Arabidopsis thaliana: one gene and its partners. The protein of the gene in region 2 interacts with the protein of the main gene of each other region in a pairwise test. Each region holds a gene or a part of one and is shown on either strand. Other genes may lie near its edges. The genes, in order: UGT74E2, DHAR1, AT1G47530 and AT4G19645.

Evidence for each region.
Region 1: the proteins of DHAR1 (region 2) and UGT74E2 interact in a two-hybrid assay, tested with the Arabidopsis thaliana proteins (one large-scale study listed by BioGRID).
Region 3: the proteins of DHAR1 (region 2) and AT1G47530 interact in a protein complementation assay, tested with the Arabidopsis thaliana proteins (one large-scale study listed by BioGRID).
Region 4: the proteins of DHAR1 (region 2) and AT4G19645 interact in a protein complementation assay, tested with the Arabidopsis thaliana proteins (one large-scale study listed by BioGRID).

What each region holds. Positions count from the first base shown.
Region 1 is NC_003070.9:1,702,451-1,706,630, forward strand, and holds UGT74E2 (Uridine diphosphate glycosyltransferase 74E2), read right to left. Parts: upstream 2,389-4,180; 5' UTR 2,190-2,388; coding exon 1,545-2,189; intron 1,463-1,544; coding exon 746-1,462; 3' UTR 552-745; downstream 1-551. Other genes in the region: AT1G05675 (UDP-Glycosyltransferase superfamily protein), read right to left, coding at 1-265. UniProt on the Arabidopsis thaliana protein: Glucosyltransferase that acts on the auxin indole-3-butyric acid (IBA). Mediates abiotic stress responses and stress-induced morphological adaptations by regulating auxin homeostasis.
Region 2 is NC_003070.9:6,772,798-6,776,512, forward strand, and holds DHAR1 (dehydroascorbate reductase), read right to left. Parts: upstream 1,727-3,715; 5' UTR 1,617-1,726; coding exon 1,559-1,616; intron 1,435-1,558; coding exon 1,344-1,434; intron 1,158-1,343; coding exon 665-1,157; 3' UTR 505-664; downstream 1-504. Other genes in the region: AT1G19565 (uncharacterized protein), read right to left, coding at 82-173, 282-334; GAMMA CA1 (gamma carbonic anhydrase 1), read left to right, coding at 2,140-2,254, 2,509-2,652, 3,218-3,343, 3,446-3,597. UniProt on the Arabidopsis thaliana protein: Displays a dual function. As a soluble protein, exhibits glutathione-dependent thiol transferase and dehydroascorbate (DHA) reductase activities. Key component of the ascorbate recycling system.
Region 3 is NC_003070.9:17,449,605-17,455,005, forward strand, and holds AT1G47530 (MATE efflux family protein), read left to right. Parts: upstream 1-1,948; 5' UTR 1,949-2,119; coding exon 2,120-2,389; exon of another isoform or gene 2,390-2,683; intron 2,684-2,784; coding exon 2,785-2,980; intron 2,981-3,069; coding exon 3,070-3,415; intron 3,416-3,511; coding exon 3,512-3,598; intron 3,599-3,683; coding exon 3,684-3,740; intron 3,741-3,832; coding exon 3,833-4,190; intron 4,191-4,272; coding exon 4,273-4,359; intron 4,360-4,452; coding exon 4,453-4,506; 3' UTR 4,507-4,857; downstream 4,858-5,401.
Region 4 is NC_003075.7:10,689,227-10,694,686, forward strand, and holds AT4G19645 (TRAM, LAG1 and CLN8 (TLC) lipid-sensing domain containing protein), read right to left. Parts: upstream 3,606-5,460; 5' UTR 3,587-3,605; intron 2,796-3,586; exon of another isoform or gene 2,766-2,795; intron 2,737-2,765; exon of another isoform or gene 2,535-2,736; coding exon of another isoform or gene 2,448-2,534; exon of another isoform or gene 2,261-2,447; intron 2,170-2,260; 5' UTR 2,073-2,169; coding exon 1,959-2,072; intron 1,872-1,958; coding exon 1,783-1,871; intron 1,714-1,782; coding exon 1,572-1,713; intron 1,476-1,571; coding exon 1,401-1,475; intron 1,334-1,400; coding exon 1,136-1,333; intron 1,051-1,135; coding exon 991-1,050; intron 844-990; coding exon 715-843; 3' UTR 532-714; downstream 1-531. Other genes in the region: ARA7 (Ras-related small GTP-binding family protein), read right to left, coding at 185-223; AT4G19650 (Mitochondrial transcription termination factor family protein), read left to right, coding at 4,162-5,460.

The DNA of each region.
Region 1 (4,180 bases), 5.1 Mb from region 2:
AGCGGTTTTTGATGCTGGATTCTACTCTTTCCATGTACTCATCTAGGTCTTCTGATCGTTCCTGGCCTTCTTGGAAACCATTGGAGATGGGGACGACAGTGATTGTGTCGTGCTCTGTTTTGTACGGCGGAGAGGGCTTGTCGGAGACGAGGACAAGAGTGATCTTAAGACTTTTTGAGGCTAAGCGTTTACAGAATTGGGACATTGGAGTTATGTGGCCTTGTGCTGGGAAAGGCAAAACAATAACATGAGATCCTTCTCTCATCTTTTTTTTTTTTGTCTTTCGTTCTTACTCTGACTCTGTTATGTGTGGGTGTGTGTATTTATAAGGTTGGGTTAGAGGACGACTTTGATTTTACGACTTTTCTTGTGACTACTATCCAAAAAGGTCAAACGTGGCTACCAAGATGTGTGGGGATAGACATCGATGATAATTCAACCTACCATATGACCTTTGACTGCATAAGGCCGTCACATTTAAAGTAGCTTTAGGTGTGTAGTGTATATTTCATTTTTAAAAAAAAATGAGATGAATTTTTATAGAGTTATGCAAAATTTTATCCGGCTTGGATATTTTATTAAACCCTGGATTTTTAACTCACATGTTATCATTTGGAACTTGGAATTAATAGAGAGCTGAAGACAAATGAGAAACTATATTATTAGTTATTACTACAACAACAACAAGAATTACAATTGGACTTGCAAAAGACGATGTACTTTTGAACATATCAATTTAAATCATTCAACAAAACATAGAAACAAACTCATTGATGCTCTTATCAGAGCTACCTCCTTCAGAAACTGCCTCTTGAGCCAACACTTTCCATTTCTCAGCATTCTTTCTAATCTCTTTCCCTTTCTCTCCCTCCATAACTTCTTCCACACTTCTCATAATCTCTTCTCTTCTCACAAACCCATCACCTTCTGCCTTAACCCTTACCCCAACCTTCCACACATCCTGCATGAACTTAGCATTCGTGGGCTGATCAGTCCAGTGTGGCATACCAATCATTGGAACTCCCAAACTCAATCCCTCTAACGTCGAGTTCCATCCACAGTGTGTCAAGAAACAACCGATTGATTTATGTGCAAGTACGTCAAGCTGAGGACTCCAGCTTACAATAAGTCCTTTTTCACCGATTTCCTCGACATAGTTTCTTGGAAGTTTGTGTGTCTCTGTCTCTCTCACAACCCACAGAAAGAAACGTCCGCTCTGTTTCAGACCCGCAGCGAGTTCCAACATTTGATCTTCTTTTAGAATCACCAAACTTCCGAATGATAAATAGACAACAGAATTAGGCTCCTTTGAGTTTAGCCACTCCATGCATTCAGCGACTTTCGCATTGAAGAGGCTAAAACCGTAGTTCTTGTCTTCAGACAGTCGTTTGTCTAAATACATCGATGGAACCGTTGGTCCAATATTCAAGACTGGCCACAAGCTTTGGACCCATTTCAACAACTACAAGCAGAGAAAATAAAACTTAAAACACTTCCTACAAAAGACAGAGACATGTTCCTCTATATGGATTTATATTCTGTACCTTTTCCTCCAATTTATCGAAAGTGTTGCACAACACTATGTCGACTCGATCAATGTTTGAGAGCTGATCCACCACAATCCTCAGTATATTCGGGTATGAGGACGATTCGCAGAGGAAAGACGGCAAATCATTTGCAGTCAGCATCGGGAACGAAGGGAAAGATGCTAATGTCGAGTGACCGTACTTTGTAGACGGTACAGAGAACGAACCCTTGAAAACATGGTAGTAAATAGCTGTGACAAGCCAAGGTTGCGTGAAAAACACGGCACCGCTCAATCCATAACTATGAGCTACATCAAGAAGCCATGGCATGGTGGAGTCGTACACGATAGCCCTAGGTGGATTTCCCGACAGTTTCATGTCTTCAACCAACTTCGGTAAGGTGTTTTTGATGCTGGTTTCTACTCTTTCCATGTAATCATCGAGGTCTTGTAATGGTTCCTCGCCTTCTTGGAAGCCGTTGGAGATGGGGAAGACAGTGATTGAGTCGTGCTCTGTTTTGTATGGAGGAGAGGGTTTGTCGGAGACGAGGACCAGAGTGAGCTTAAGACCTTTTGAGGCTAAGCGTTTGCAGAACTGGGACATTGGAGTTATGTGGCCTTGTCCTGGGAAAGGCAAGACGATAAGATGAGATCCTTCTCTCATTTTCTCCTTCTTTTTAATCTTGTGTTGTTACTGACTCTAGTTTTTGTTGTGTGGGTGTTGTTGGTGTGTGTTATGGATATATATATGATTGGATTAGAGAACGACTTCGATTTTACTACGGCTTTGGTGGGGGACTCATTAATTGGACTACAATCCAAAAATTGTCTATGTTCCGTGGCGACCAAGATGTGCGGAACAGTGACCGAGGTCGATGATAATGCAATTCACCGATATATGTTGACATAATTGTTTTAGTTTATTAGTTTATCGTTAGCATGTGACTTATGACATGTGATATATCAATATGTAACTCGCAACATACGTACGTGTATATCAGATTCTTTTTGTCATCTTCCCTGAGAGAGAGACACTGCATCTCAGCCTCTCAGCTATGTATTACTGTTGATGTCATTGCTTATGCAATCCGAATCCAAATTGTAAAATCAAAGAAAATTTTCTATTTCTTTCTATTTACATTACCTGTTAATTCGTCCCCAAATATTTTTGATGTCACTCATTATTACAAAGGAACAAAATAAGGAACCGAAAACAGAAATAATGGGAAAAAAGACTACTTCGACAACTTCCGGCCTTTTTATATTTAACGCCGTCCCACTTTGGAACCCAATCTATCCACGTGGAGCTCTATCACTGGTCATTCTTAATTCTCTGGAGTTCACAAATTTATGCAAGAAAATAAAAAAATTGATTTTGACCGCCTCCGAGTCTTTTTACAACTTTTTAATTCGAATTTTGATAACATCTATATATACATTTTTGGAGCTATTTTAGTAAATAAATCCTTAAGTTGGGACTTATTTACAGTGGATGTCATTGATATTTAATTATTATAACTAATTAATATTCTTAATTATTAGCATTTCTTTATCTAATATATTTCCATCAATTCTAATTACTTTTAAAAAGGAGAAATCTTAGGAATTTATTAATATTATACTTTATTAAAAATAAATATTATAGTTAGTTAAACATTTAAAATATTTAACGGAAAAACGTTTTATAATATTTATAATATGTGAAATGTATAAAAATTAAATAATCATTTGAAATAAAACTTTTAAATTGATGTGAATTATAAATTTTTTAATAAAAATATTATTCAAACAAAAAATAAAAAAATAATGTTTAATTTTACCGAACGAGATTAGATGATAAGACGGGTTTATAATATTTATAATATATGAATTTTAAAACAATTAAATAACCATTTAAAATAAAACTTTTAAACTGATTTGAATTATATATCTTTTAAATTAAAGTATTATTAAAACAAAAATAACAAAATAATTTTTAGTTTCGCTGAACGGGGTTAGATGGTATGACGAGTTTGGGTCGATAGGTAATACGAGACAGTATAGCATGGGTGAAATCTATTAGATATGTTTAATTTCACTGAACGAGATTAGATGATATGACGGCTTTGGATCGATAATAATACGAGACAGTATATCATGGGTGAAATCATATATATATATATATATATATATATATATATCAAAATATCATTATATTAATAAAATTAATATAATTAAAATTTGAATTATTTAGTTATAATCTAAATTTTAACTTAATAAACTGTGTGTTATTCTTTCTATATTGTTAAACAGTAAAAAATAAACATAGTAATTGTATACTAAATAATATATATATATATATATAAGAGTTGTACATTTAGAAAATATTAAAATGAATTATATTTATTTAATCTACTAAACAAATTAACTTTTTAGTTTTTAAAAAAGATATAACCCCGCGGTATACCGCAGATTAAAATCTAGTTAACTGATAATCTTGCTGCATAATATAGCCACCACTAAATTTACGGTTTACTATCAGAAATCTGTTTTGTTCTAAATTAAATTAAATTCCAAGATCTTTATTTTCCTTTACTTGACACAATCGTTTAATTATTTGTCATTTTATTTTCTTAATTTTTAACCTAAATTAATTAAAAAAAAAGATGACTTGAC
Region 2 (3,715 bases):
CCTTACGACTGCTGACGGTGCGACTATAACTGCCTTCTCCCAGGAACATTCTTGGAAAATCTCACCCAACCCTACATTCACCCGCCCAAGAACATTGTATCGCAGAACGATATGGTTGATTTGTGGGATGTAAAGATCGGTAAGACTCTCGAGTCTCGACAAGACTTATGTTTCTGAGGAAGAACTCCTCAAAACCATCAAAGGTGATCAGTTAAACCATAAAAACAGTTTCTGATATCCAATATTCATCAGTCCAAACTCCAAAGTATTAAACGAGTCACTTGCATTTGCAGAGACCCAGCCTCCAATGGATTTTTTTGTGGGTTTGATCCATACGGTCCTTGCGAAGAGCGACTTTACCTCCTTGACTATAGATCCTTCTTTTGGAGTTAAGACTTCTGAGCTTTATCCTGAGGTCAAGTACACAAGTACTGTCGATGAGTTTCTTAAATAATTTGTCTGAAAAAACCCTTGTCCCTTATGTTACGTGTAGCCAGTGTTTATCCGAGTTTCGATATGGAGGCAAATCTTATTTCAAAATAGGCTTCTTATTTGATTGATACAGTACATTACATAAAAAGGTCCAAGTACATTATTTGACTGATATAAGAGAGAGACCTTGAACAACATTACCACACCAACGATCTCATAACGGTGCATAGTTTCAAGGGTTAACCTTGGGAGCCCATCCAGAGATCACATACTTTTCCTCGGTCTTAGTTTTCTCAAAAGAGTCGAGCGAGAACAGAGTCTTCATGTAGTTATGGACATGGGGAAAGCTCTCAGGGACAGACCAGCTTTTGAAATGGCCAAGAGCAACTTGAAGGTGGTAAAGCTTTGGTGCTAAGCTTAGATCCACTGCGGAAACTCTTTCTCCGGCGATAAAAGGGCCATCGTGACTCTTAAGATGGTTTTCCAAAGCTTCTAGCTCAACAAGCAAGGCATGTTCAGATCCGTCATTGGAGTCTTTGCTCTTCAAGAATGTCCCAAAAGTACCAAAAATGTTGGATCCAACAGAGGCAAATTCAGCAGGAGTCTTGAGTGGTGGATCAGGATACTTCTCCTCGAGTATACCAACGATGACGTCGGAATCAGTCACCCACTTGTCGTCGATCTTAAGCACTGGTACTTTCCCTTGAGGACTAATGTCCAAGAACCTGCATCATATATAAAACCAAAGCCACCAATTTCAAGTTCCGGTTAACACAATGCTCGCACATGAAGCCAATCCAATTTCCGGTTAACACAAAGCTCGTACCAGTTACAAGTAAAATTTCAGAGATTATGGCTAAACAAGTTCAAACTAGACCGATCTTAAGGGTTTAGGCGTGAGAGAAACTGACCACTGGGGTTTGTCAGAGAGGTTAATCAGATGGATTTTGTAGGTAAGACTCTTCTCCTCGAGTGTGAGAAGAGCCCGTTGGCTGAACGGACCTAAAACGACAAACAAACACTTAAATTAGTAAATTTACCAACGATCAAAGCTCAGAAATTAAGAATTGCAAAATCAAAAGCTTAATGCAAAACAAAAACAGAGAGAGAAAGAGAAGATGGTTACAGTCGCCGAGATGATCAGGAGCACCAACAGCAGCTTTCACACAGATTTCCAGAGCCATCTTGATTCTTCTTCCTTTGTTTGCAGAGACGGATGAATGATTGAGTTAATCAGTGAGAAGGCTTAGCTTTTAAACTGAATTATTACCATTCTCCACCCACCAGTGGGCCATTTTTACCCGATGTTTATCTTTTCTCACGTGTTATGCGTTGCAAGTGACGACGATACGAAACGACATTGTTACTGATAGGGCCATTTGATTTTTGGTCGGCAGGTTTTGGACCGTTCAATTTAGTGAAAATATAGTAATAAATTCGTACCGAATAATATAATCGGTTTAATGAAACTACTACCTGAAATATCGAATTAGATTTGGTTCATATTTCGTATTGTTTTGGTTCGATTAAACCATATTAAACCACTGTAACTGTAATTTATTGTTTCGCCGTCCCGGAATGTTCCTGTTGAAATCCATTTTCGCTGATTTTTTTTCTTCCGTCTCTTCTTCAGCTTCGACCATTTTCGTCTTCTTCATTCAGTGTTGAGTCCTCGTTTACCTGTGAGCTCGAAGAAAGTGACGATCAATGGGAACCCTAGGCAGAGCATTTTACTCGGTCGGTTTTTGGATCCGTGAGACTGGTCAAGCTCTTGATCGCCTCGGTTGTCGCCTTCAAGGCAAAAATTACTTCCGAGAACAACGTAAGATTCTGCGTAACTCTATTTTTCACTCCGATTTCGAATTCGTAAAGAGTGAGGAGTTTCGATTGGGTAATTCAGCTCACCTATTCTGGTTAGGTTAGAGATCTGGAATTGATGTCTTTGTAGGTATAGCGATTCTGGATTCGAATGGCACAAGGGATTAATTGATGTGGAATGTGTTTTGCTGCTTAGTTTTTTTTTTGTTTCCTGGTCACGAAATTTGCTTATATGTAATTGTGGTTTTCTCTGTGTAGTGTCAAGGCATCGGACACTGATGAATGTATTTGATAAGGCTCCGATTGTGGACAAGGAAGCTTTTGTGGCACCAAGCGCCTCAGTTATTGGGGACGTTCACATTGGAAGAGGATCGTCCATTTGGTATGGATGCGTATTACGAGGTGAGCTAGCTACTAAGCCTCAATGTTTGGTGTTTGGTGGTTGACTATTTTAGTGACTGAAGTTTTGTTTGAAATAGTATCTACTTCTGTATCCTTAGCTGTGTCAACTCTTACGATAGAAAATAGTGAACGAATATCTGTTTTTTACTCTTCTGGTTAAGCGATGAACAAGACTACTACTCAAAATGGAGCTTTCTAGCTTTATTGAAGGATCTTAAACAGATCATTACTACATATCGTATCTTGATGATACTGGCAGTTGCTCTAATGGGTGATTGGGTATATGATATCCCCAATCATATACAGAATGCTTTCATGTCATAACACCAGAATTAGTTGAACGATATCATATACAGATTATTGAGTTTGAGTTGAATCCTTATTGCGAGTATGAGTTGGCTAGTCTGGATTTTTATTTAATGGTGATGAAATAGGGTTGTCCTTTTTACAGAATGCTTTCATGTCATAACACATTGGTACTGTATGGCTAAGCCTGTTAGTACTTTACCAGGAAACTGGGATAACATACAATCTAAACTTGCTTTCTCTCTTTTTTTCTGCGCAGGCGATGTGAACACCGTAAGTGTTGGGTCAGGAACTAATATTCAGGACAACTCACTTGTGCATGTGGCAAAATCAAACTTAAGCGGGAAGGTGCACCCAACCATAATTGGAGACAATGTAACCATTGGTTAGTGGGAATCTCTTACTCACTGTTTATTTTGAAAATGTTTAATATGCATACATCTCCAAGAAGCATTTGGGATATAGTCTTAAATTAAATGTGTAACAGGTCATAGTGCTGTTTTACATGGATGTACTGTTGAGGATGAGACCTTTATTGGGATGGGTGCGACACTTCTTGATGGGGTCGTTGTTGAAAAGCATGGGATGGTTGCTGCTGGTGCACTTGTACGACAAAACACCAGAATTCCTTCTGGAGAGGTATGATTTTGGGTTTAACATTTCTGATTACCTGAAAACCCACAAGTAACCATTGGTGCGGGTATACTTCTATTGCTACTTAGACAGCATAGGCTATATTATTGACATTATTAGTGTC
Region 3 (5,401 bases), about 11 Mb from region 2:
CCTTGTAAATCTATTTCCAGCCAAAAAAATATTTTTGCGGGAAAAATGTTTTTGAGAAAAAAACTTTGATGGAAATTTTTTTTTCGAAATTTTTTGGTGGGAAATTTATTTTGGAATATTTTAGGCGAAAAAATATTAATATTTCATTTTGTTAACCTAAAACAATTTCGAAATATGAGTAAAATGGTCATTAAAAATTTAAAGAGGTATAAATGAAAATGGCAAATAAGAAAAGGTAGAATTGAAAAGGGGTAGTGTGGAAAGGACATTCTGAGCAATTATTCAATATTGTATGACTACTAAATTCTCATATGCAAATGTGAAATCAAATTTGTATTCAATCACTTGTTTATATAATGTCTGGTTCTTTAGATATTAGCTCACTTCAGGTAAGAAAACAAAATGTGGTAGCCTCATTACTTCATTAGTGCAAAGAAAGTGATTCTTTGGGATAAATTTGGATAATTTTGAATCAAAGCTGTAGTAGGACAATACACTTTTATAGTATTTTTTATTAAAGGGAAAACTCAACATCTAAAGGCAAGGAATATCCAACAGTTTGAACGCTAAACAATCAAGGGACAAGCAGAGCGTTTTCTAAATAAAGTTGCCGTTCTTTGAGAGCCGAGCTCGAACCGTAATCTGGCTTCATCACACACATAGTTCATCTTCCCGGTCGTCCCATCTCTGCAATCAGGAAAATGCAACCTCGATCCAAACCTCATATCACCTCTTTCCTTAATATTCTCCATAATATCTTTCACAATCACACCATCCATATCTCCTTCAGAGGCAATCGATGTAACCTTAAGCAGCTTAGGCCACCACGGTTTGATATTGTAACTAAATACTCACAAGAGTTAATCTATGTTAGTTTTCGAAACAAAAGAAATATGTGAACAAAACTAACAACCAAGGAGTGAAATCTTTTGAGTCCACATGCAATATGTGATACAACGAGGATTCATCCCTCTCAGTATAGACTAGTTATTCTGAAACATAGCTTCCTCACTACCGCAAGAATCCCATGATACAACAACTACGCTCTTACAACAATGGTTAATTTGATCACGATTCAATAATCATCTACCATGATTCACTCTCTTTTTGGTTAAAGTTCAAAGTAATATTTTCGCATTTCTTTGATATAAAACGATGTCGATTATTTGGTTCATGACTTTTTATTTCTCTTAGTTTCACAACAACTTCGCTCTCACAACAATGGTTAATTTGAGCACTAACCAATGACCAATTGACCATGCATGATTCACTCTCCTTTTGGTTAAGTTCAGACAGTGTAAAAGCTTTTCTTGTTACAAAATGCTGTCGATTTTTTGGTTCATCAATTTTATTAATTTCTTTTGCACTTTCACCAACACCTAATATTAAAAAGAAAATAAAAACAAGATCCACCAATTCAATGCGATAGGGTAAGTGACTAAATGTTCATTGCCGTTGTCACCCTTTGAACCCAATTTAGGACTCAAAGAGCCGTCTGATTATATTTAACCTTGGTCGAAGTATTTCTAACGAGCTGGTAAGTCCTCATTGGTCCATTATATTCACTGTCCACAATAATTTTAATTACTTGTACGACTCGGTTAACTCCTTCTAGGAAAAACTAAAGTGTACCTACCTAGTACATACGTACTTCTTCATATTACCACAAGTTTTTTTTTTTTTTTCTTGCATTCAACTACGTGTTTAAAGTTTCGGCCCCAAACTTCGGCCCAAAAACAAAAACCAAATAAACTATTACAAAAATCTTTGTTATCATATCACACTATCATTTCAAGTTTTCAACCAATCCATACTCTTAACAATCCCATTAAATTGAGATTTATTCATATTAAGAAATTATGCTGATAATATTTAACTACCAAATTAGGCCGATTCATACCAAAACTATAGAATATGTACTAAATAATTCCATTACCTTCGTTTAGTCATTTTTGGCGGTTTATTTCTTTTGGATAGATCTCATGTCAGACCTTTTTAGACTATTCATTATGGCACCTACCACACTAGTGTGTCTCCATCTTCTGTATTTATATACATATATCATAAGTCAGAACAAAGAGAAAGCAAAGAAGAGAAACTAAAACAGAGCTTTTTTCACATGGGAAAGGATAAGACTTTGCCGTTGCTTGACCCTCGTGAGCCACCGGAACTCACCGGAACCAAGTCGGCGTCAAAAGTATGGGCCAAAGAGTTCGGCGAAGAGTCGAAGCGGCTTTGGGAGTTAGCAGGACCAGCGATTTTCACTGCCATAAGTCAATACTCTCTTGGTGCTCTCACTCAGACTTTCTCCGGCCGTCTCGGTGAACTTGAGCTCGCCGCCGTCTCAGTTGAAAACTCTGTTATCTCCGGTCTTGCCTTCGGTGTCATGGTATGTTACGTAAACACCCTTCACACGTGTCAGGTTCTTGGTAATGGATAATGTGTTCTAATAATAGCCACAGAAATAAAAGTCAATATTTGAGGACTTTTTTTGTATTAATTAATATCAATATTCGTTAATATCAATGAAGTAGATTTTCCCATACATTTAAAATTGTTTCGTAATTGTGATTAAGTAAATCCTAACAGTGTGTTTTATATTCAAATAAAGTAGATATATTAATGTAGTTGAGTTCAGTGTTATAATATTTGTTATACAAGTAATCTCTACGAGGGTCCTTGTGTAAGCTCTCTTGAATTTTGTTGCTTGTCATTTAAGTTTCCTATGAAAAAAGCTTAGAGATCAAACAATATAAACATTTTGATGATGGAAAATGGTGGCAGTTAGGGATGGGGAGTGCATTGGAGACGTTGTGTGGACAAGCATATGGCGCGGGACAGATTAGGATGATGGGAATATATATGCAACGTTCATGGGTCATTCTCTTTACTACTGCTTTGTTTTTGCTTCCCGTCTACATTTGGGCTCCTCCTATTCTTTCCTTCTTCGGCGAGGCTCCTCACATCTCTAAAGCCGCGGGTATCATTCTTGTTATTCCTTTTTGCCAATTGGTTTTGAGTTTGGAGTCAATGTTCACGTAACAACTTCTGCGTTGTTATAATTTTCAGGGAAGTTCGCATTGTGGATGATCCCGCAACTATTTGCCTATGCAGCCAACTTCCCGATACAGAAATTCTTGCAGTCACAGAGGAAAGTTCTTGTGATGGCTTGGATCTCTGGAGTGGTTTTAGTTATACATGCAGTTTTTAGCTGGCTCTTCATTCTTTACTTTAAGTGGGGACTTGTAGGTGCAGCTATCACTCTCAATACCTCGTGGTGGTTGATTGTTATTGGTCAGCTTTTGTATATCTTAATCACCAAATCAGACGGTGCGTGGACTGGATTTTCTATGCTAGCGTTTCGGGACCTCTATGGATTTGTCAAACTTTCCTTAGCCTCTGCTCTTATGCTTTGGTACCTATCCAATTTTTTTTGGCTAGAAGATAGCTTTAGACTTACGTTAGCTGAGACTTCGCTTGTAATGAAAGGTTAGTTGTTTTTGTTTTGCAGTTTGGAGTTTTGGTACTTGATGGTTCTGGTTGTTGTTACCGGTCTCCTTCCTAACCCGTTGATACCAGTCGATGCCATCTCCATTTGGTAATCAATTTGTGCTGATCTTTGGTTAGTTTCTCACTGAAAATAGGTTTGTTTAGTAACATATTTTATGTTTTGGGGTTCACAGCATGAATATAGAAGGGTGGACTGCCATGATTTCGATCGGGTTTAACGCTGCGATTAGGTAAGTTCTCTACCTTTATGTTTCAGGAGCCACATTTGGAAAGCTAATAAAAATCTCATGAACTGGTGAACTTTGTCTCTTGGTGTGATCAGTGTGAGAGTATCGAATGAGCTGGGTGCAGGAAACGCAGCGTTAGCCAAATTCTCAGTGATAGTCGTCTCCATAACTTCAACTCTTATCGGGATAGTGTGCATGATTGTTGTCTTAGCCACAAAAGACAGCTTCCCTTATCTTTTCACTTCAAGCGAAGCTGTGGCAGCAGAAACCACGAGAATAGCCGTCTTGTTGGGCTTCACTGTCCTCTTGAACAGCCTCCAGCCCGTCTTGTCAGGGGTTGCGGTTGGAGCGGGGTGGCAGGCTCTGGTTGCATACGTGAACATTGCGTGTTATTACATTATCGGACTACCTGCTGGTCTTGTTCTTGGATTCACACTAGACCTCGGCGTTCAGGTTAGCTATTTACTAATATGACCATTTTGTATTAGCCTTGTTCTTTTTAATCTGGTGTTAAATCATTTGTATATTTTTGTAGGGAATATGGGGAGGTATGGTAGCTGGAATATGCTTGCAGACACTTATATTGATTGGAATCATCTACTTCACTAACTGGAACAAAGAGGTCTCTTACTTTGTCTTTTAGTTGCTGCTATGTTCCTCCTTTGTGTTTGGTTTGATCATTTCATTAATTAGCTTTGAATTCTAAATTATGCAGGCTGAGCAAGCGGAGAGTCGAGTTCAGAGATGGGGAGGAACGGCGCAGGAGTGATCAACAACTCCCTTAGGACGTGGACTATATCAGTTATTGATCTTTTTTTGTCAATGTTCAATGTTGAGAAAATTGTTTATCGGAGAACAACATCATCTCTTTTTGTTTTTTGATATGCTTAAAGTTAACGAGTCTCTCAGTGATTGTTAGAGGGGTACGGTTTGTTATGTGTTAGACTTATGTTAGATTCTAGGATGGTTGTTGCTAAGCCAAAGTTCTTGATTAATTTTAAGTATGAGATTTAATCTTCATAAGCTTGTTGATCCTTCGTTTTTATTTTAATGGTCAGACTTGATCCAATGTTTATGTTCATTTGAAGGCGAAGATCTTACCGTTTGTCAAACATAGCTAATTAGTGGTGGTATTAGCAACAGATCTTTAGGACTGTCGTTGATCTGTTGCAACTCAGTCACTAAAAATTAACAAATCTTATATAAACAAGAGGAATATTAAAAAGAAAAAAAGAAGATGAAAATGAATATCAAAATAGTTGTGTGACGATACAATATATTAGAGATGGACTACAACAATTCATGAATCAGGGTCACAGACTAACCGTTAAAGCAGTAAATTTGTCTGCCCATCTCATAAGTGTTTGAATTAAAATTTAGGTCAGTCGAGAGCTGTGTGCTATATACTAGATAGTCTACCCTTAATTACTATGTTTGGTTTTCGCATGGAGATTTACTATAAATACACAAACAAGTAATAGTGCTCAAATTGTGAATCAACCCATGCACTAATCCTTTTCATCAATTCGGTCACGGTTAGGATAATGGATTCCGTAATATGGTAACAAATGCATTTTCTGAAATATCAAACTAACATCATTTAATGATTATATTGTTTGATACATTTTATGATATATCAAACTCTGTAAATCAACCAATATATA
Region 4 (5,460 bases), on a different chromosome or scaffold from region 2:
AATCTGATCAAAGCTCTCCAATTCAACATCACGTATCAAAATTCTCCAAATTAGAAACAGAATCAAATCCAGAAAACTGAAAATCTAACAAAACGGGTCTGCAAATTCAATCAATTTTACGATCATCGGAGAGAGACAAACCAACCACAAGGGAACTCAAAAGAATCGAGCTAATAAGACTGACCAATTTGGCGTTAATGCTCTTGTTTCCAGCTGCAGCCATGGATTATCGATCTGAAGAGAATCGCAGGTCGATACGATAATCTTCAGCTCAAAACTGAGATTGAAGATCAAAAGACGACGGAGACACAAAAAGGTTAAAAAAAATTAGTGAGCGGAAACGCGTCGTCAACAACAACCAATCTCCTCCTCCTCAATTAATGTTGCTTTCTTTCTAGAACTAACAAAAAATACAAGTAAACAAATATTACACGGCAAGTTAATATGACACGAAAAAACTACGAATATAATCGTTGGCCCAATGTAGATTTAGGCCCAAGTCTTTTTGGGTTAAGTCCTCTATTGATTTCGTACATGGATTTAAGTATTCAGCATGCATAGGGACTGTTGTGGGAATAATGGGAATGAGATTTTGAACATAATTAGTGTATAAGCTAAAAGTTAGAAACAAACCATATCTTTGTTGCTTATAAACTTGTAAGATTCTTCATAAGAGTTTTATATTTACATAAAAAAAAAAACACAACTCTTTCTTCACTGTCTTTTCTCAAGAGTTTTCTTCAATCCCTTCACTATCTTACCAAACCAGATCAAGTTCATGACACTCAATGAAATCGGTACAACAAATACCAGTAGATAACCGAATGTATGCATCTCTATCACCTGCCGAAAAATCCATTGATCATCAATTCATTATCTCTAAACCTAACCAATACAACAGCAAAAAAAAAAAAAAAACAGAGTAATTCCTATTTTTCCTAAAGGCTAGACCGTTTGGTTTAGAGATAATCAAACCGAAATCTTGATTACCTGATCATAATGTGTGTAGACATGGTAAAACATGTAGATGAACAGAAGAATTCTTGCTGTCTGCAAACAAAACATCATTGCTATAAAAAAGGAGATCAAGTTTTCAGACATTTACAACGAAAAACAAAGGTTTTAAGAAACTCACCAACCAAGCAAAGAATATAGCAACTCCATTAACAAGATAAGCTTTAGATCGTTTCAAACCAGCAATGTCAAGGTACCATCTAAGATTGATCTCTGGTGTAGTCACTTCAGAGATTAAAACCATGTATGTGTAAAGCTGAGCCTCTCCAGAGAACAAAGAATACGCTACTGCTGTTCCAGATAAGCAGTGATGTAATATCTGAAACAAAAAACACAAGATTGTCAAGTAATTGAAGACCACATAAGCTTTCATGTGTCTAACTTACATATTCTGATCCTCCTAAAGAAGGGTATAACCAAAAGATCATTCCAAGATCCGCAAGAAAGTAACCAACTGATACCTATGCAAAAAACACATCACAACAAAGTACCATATAAGTTGATCAATGCTCATGAGTAGGACTTGTGAGATAAAATGAAGAAAGATCAAAACTTACTCCTAAACCAAAGGTAGACAGAGGCGAGTTACGAAACACCGTAAGGGTTTCAAGGCTTCTTTGGTCAGAAAACAAATCAGAGAAGAACGCAAAGTATAATGCCATGAATGAGATAAAGATCGCATGGACTGTAGAAATTCCCCTGTCAAGCCAAAGTGATAAGAGACTAGAGCATAACATATAAAGGCTGAAACAAGGAACCTATACATACCTGTTGTTCCATTCAATTCTCTTTATTTTTGTGAGAGCTGAGTATGATTTGACATGAATTGAGCTGAATAACTCCGTAAGATCATATACCTAAGAACATAAGCTACACTGTTTAAAAACAGAATGCAGAAAAAAGTGAAGTTTCTGCAATTGTAAGTGAAGAGAAGCAAAACTTACCAATTTGCAAAGACAGATTCCAACAAGAACAGAAGTATATGGAAGAAATGGATCTGCTAATAAATAGTGTTCAACAAAATACTCTGCTTGATTTTGGTAAGATTTGATCTCCATGACTGTCTCTAGTTCTCAATTTCTTCTTTGGTGAATGGTTTTAACTCTTCTTCTTCTACAGACTAATCACTTCTCTCAAGCTTTATCATCATCATTACTGAAATATAGAAAAGAAAGAGCAAAGTAAGAAACTTCATTTCTGAACAAAAAGTCTTTTCAAGGATTATACAAATGGTTTTGTGAATTACATCAGAAGAAACCACAAAAATCTTCGTTATACCCAAGAAGAAGATACTAAAAGACTCTGTTTTTATCGTTTGATCAGAGAAAATCCAATTTTGTAACAATAAGTTTAAACTTTAAAACGGACAAAAAGTAGAGACAGAAGCAATCAACACGTGAACCGCAAAAGGCTGCAGAAGAAACGCAAAGAAGATGAAGAAGGAGAAGGACGTTACAGAGACGATTATGAGAGAAGAAAAAAAGGGTTCTTTCTTCAGAGACTTCGAGAAATTATCCAAAGTTAAGAGAGTTTTTTACCAAGTAACTTGAAGCGCAAGAGGGTGCAGTAGTAATTAAAAAAACAAAACTACCAAAGTAGTTATCTTAAGAATAATCGAGAGAGAAGACAACTATTGACAAAGATAATTCAGTTTGGGTTTTGTTTTAAGGATATGCTTAATAGTTAATAACATGTAATTAGGGAGGAAACAAAGGAAGCAGAAAATGGTTGTATAAATTATGGATTCTGACCTTGTTAGACGATTTAAATCGAGTGTGCAGGAAAACCTAAGGGAGAATATGTTAATTATGAAATATTATATCTTTTATATTGAAAGCACCAAATCATCTTGTTTTTGGTTGTATCTTATATATAAAAGGGTAAGGTAGGTGGATTTTAGGAGGAGCCAAGGATTTGTTTTTTGTTTTTTCTTGCAGAAATTTGGTAATTTTGGCTTTTATAATTTTGTTACAAATAGTGAATAAAATATTAAAAAAATAAGAGAAAAAAATATTTAAAGATATAGTGAATAAGATTTAACTTCATTGTTATAATCTATATTTAATAATTTACTTATAATTATAATTAAAAATTCACTTAAATAAGACATATTAAGATCTTTGAAAATAATTTATATTGTAATTTACTGTCAAAAGGTTTTGAAAAAAACAACATTTGAAAAATAATCAAAACAAATATAAAATTCATCCGAGTAAGCCACAAGTTTTATATAAAGCTGTTTTACAAAGAAAAATCATTCCTCTCAAACATAACAAATAGTCAAACAAAACATATGCAAGTTAAACAAGAGTCAAGTTATCTTTTTCCATCATGTTGAACTAAAATCTAAATGCACTTAAGATAGTCAGAAATATTTTGAAACTAAAACTAGTGATTAAAAGAATACTTGTTATTATATGTTTGGTAGGCGTTTTAGCTTGAAGATGATGACCTAACATGAATTGAATCTACCATGGACCACTTGAAATTGACCTAATAAAAAAGTTACATATCTATAAAATCAAAAATCAGAAAGACGAACAAACCATTTATGCTCGTGAAGAAAACTCACCGTTTCTTGCTGCCTTTATCTTGCATACATATAGTCAGCTCAAAGAAATCACCACTTGGTTGGGTTTTGAAGTCGTTTTATAGTGATATACTTGAAGAATTTGTAACGCTCGTGATAATAACACGATTTCGTGTGATATGTTTATCACTTTTGACAAGTCTAAACTTGACAAGTCTATTAATTCGGTATCAAAAGAGGAATAATAATATCTCACGTCAAGTCTTTTAAGGCCAAGTGTTGATGATGCACTAATTGGTACCTTTATGATATTTCGGAAACTCTTAGGCACATATTGAAGTATAGAAAAATAAGATTATGGTCGTTTCGGATATATTATAAACGTTTAGGGGCTTCTCTGAAATTTCCACCTTAATTTGAAGCCAGAACAAGGTTTAAGCAAAGTAACTGAGATTTGGCTATGAACCCTAAGAATCTTGGGAAAATGGTTGATTCAAATGCTTAATAAGCCCTAATTTCAGGTAAATTTCTTACTTGAAAGAGTAAGCATTGAGAATTCTTCATAGCTCTCTATTTGATTGTGACTTTCACCTGTTTCTCTTTGTTGTTAGGTTGCGATGTTATTATCCAGAAATCAGAGAAGAGTTCATAAACTGTTGAATATGATTTCAAATCTCAACTACTGTATAACTTTCTCATCTATTCCTCGTCAAAACCCAGTTCAAAGGTTCGACCTTTCTCGTGTTTCAGTTCCATTTCGGAGTTTTCAGATTGAAAGCTGTGTTCGTCAGGATAAATCTAAGTTACAACAACACTCGTCTCACTTACCAACTAGGTTTTTCGTTAATCCGGTATCAAGGGCTAGTAGGAATCAAGCTCAAGAAGCTCTTTTTGATTACTTGCATTATACTAGAAGCTTTACTTTTACTGATGCAGAGCATATAAGTAAGAATTCTCCTTGTTTTATGTCGACTTTGTTGTCTAAGATTGATGATAATCAGAAAGATGTATCCAAGGGATTGACTAAGTTCCTTAGGTACAATCCGATAAACGAGTTTGAACCGTTTTTCGAGAGTTTGGGTTTGTGTCCTTATGAGTTTGAAACGTTTCTTCCACGGAAGCTAATGTTTTTGAGTGATGATGGTATCATGTTTGAGAACTTTCATGCTCTTTGCAACTATGGGATCCCGCGTGGTAAGATTGGCCGTATGTATAAAGAAGCGAGAGAGATTTTTAGATATGAATCTGGGATGTTGGCGATGAAGCTAAGGGGTTATGAGAATTTGGGTCTTAGTAAGGCTACAGTTATTAAGTTAGTTACTAGTTGCCCTTTGCTACTGGTTGGTGGGATTGATGCTGAGTTTTCTTCTGTAGTTGATAAGTTGAAAGGGTTACAAGTAGGATGTGATTGGCTTGGGCGGTACTTGTCTGACCGGAAAACATATAGCTGGCGCAGAATTCTGGAGACAATAGAGTTTCTTGATAAAGTGGGATGTAAAGAGGAGAAGTTGAGTAGTCTTTTGAAAACGTATCCAGCTTTGGTAATCGAAGGCTCCGGAAAGAAATTCTATGTTCTGTTTGGTAGGTTGTTTAAAGCGGGGCTTCAAGTGAATGAGATTTATAGGCTATTTATAGACAATCCAGAGATGTTGTCAGACAAATGCGTGAAAAATATTCAGAAGACGTTGGATTTCTTGATTGCTATTAGAATGGAAACGCAGTTTATCACGAAGATTTTGCTGAGTCATATGGAGCTTATTGGTTCATGCTCTCTGCCAGCACCTAGAACTGCTTGTCTTAGTTTGAATGTTAAACAAGACGAGCTATGTAAGATCTTAAAGAAAGAGCCTTTGAGATTGTTTTGTTTTGTTTCTACAACGAAGAAGAGAAAAAGCAAACCTCTTTCGGAAGACTCG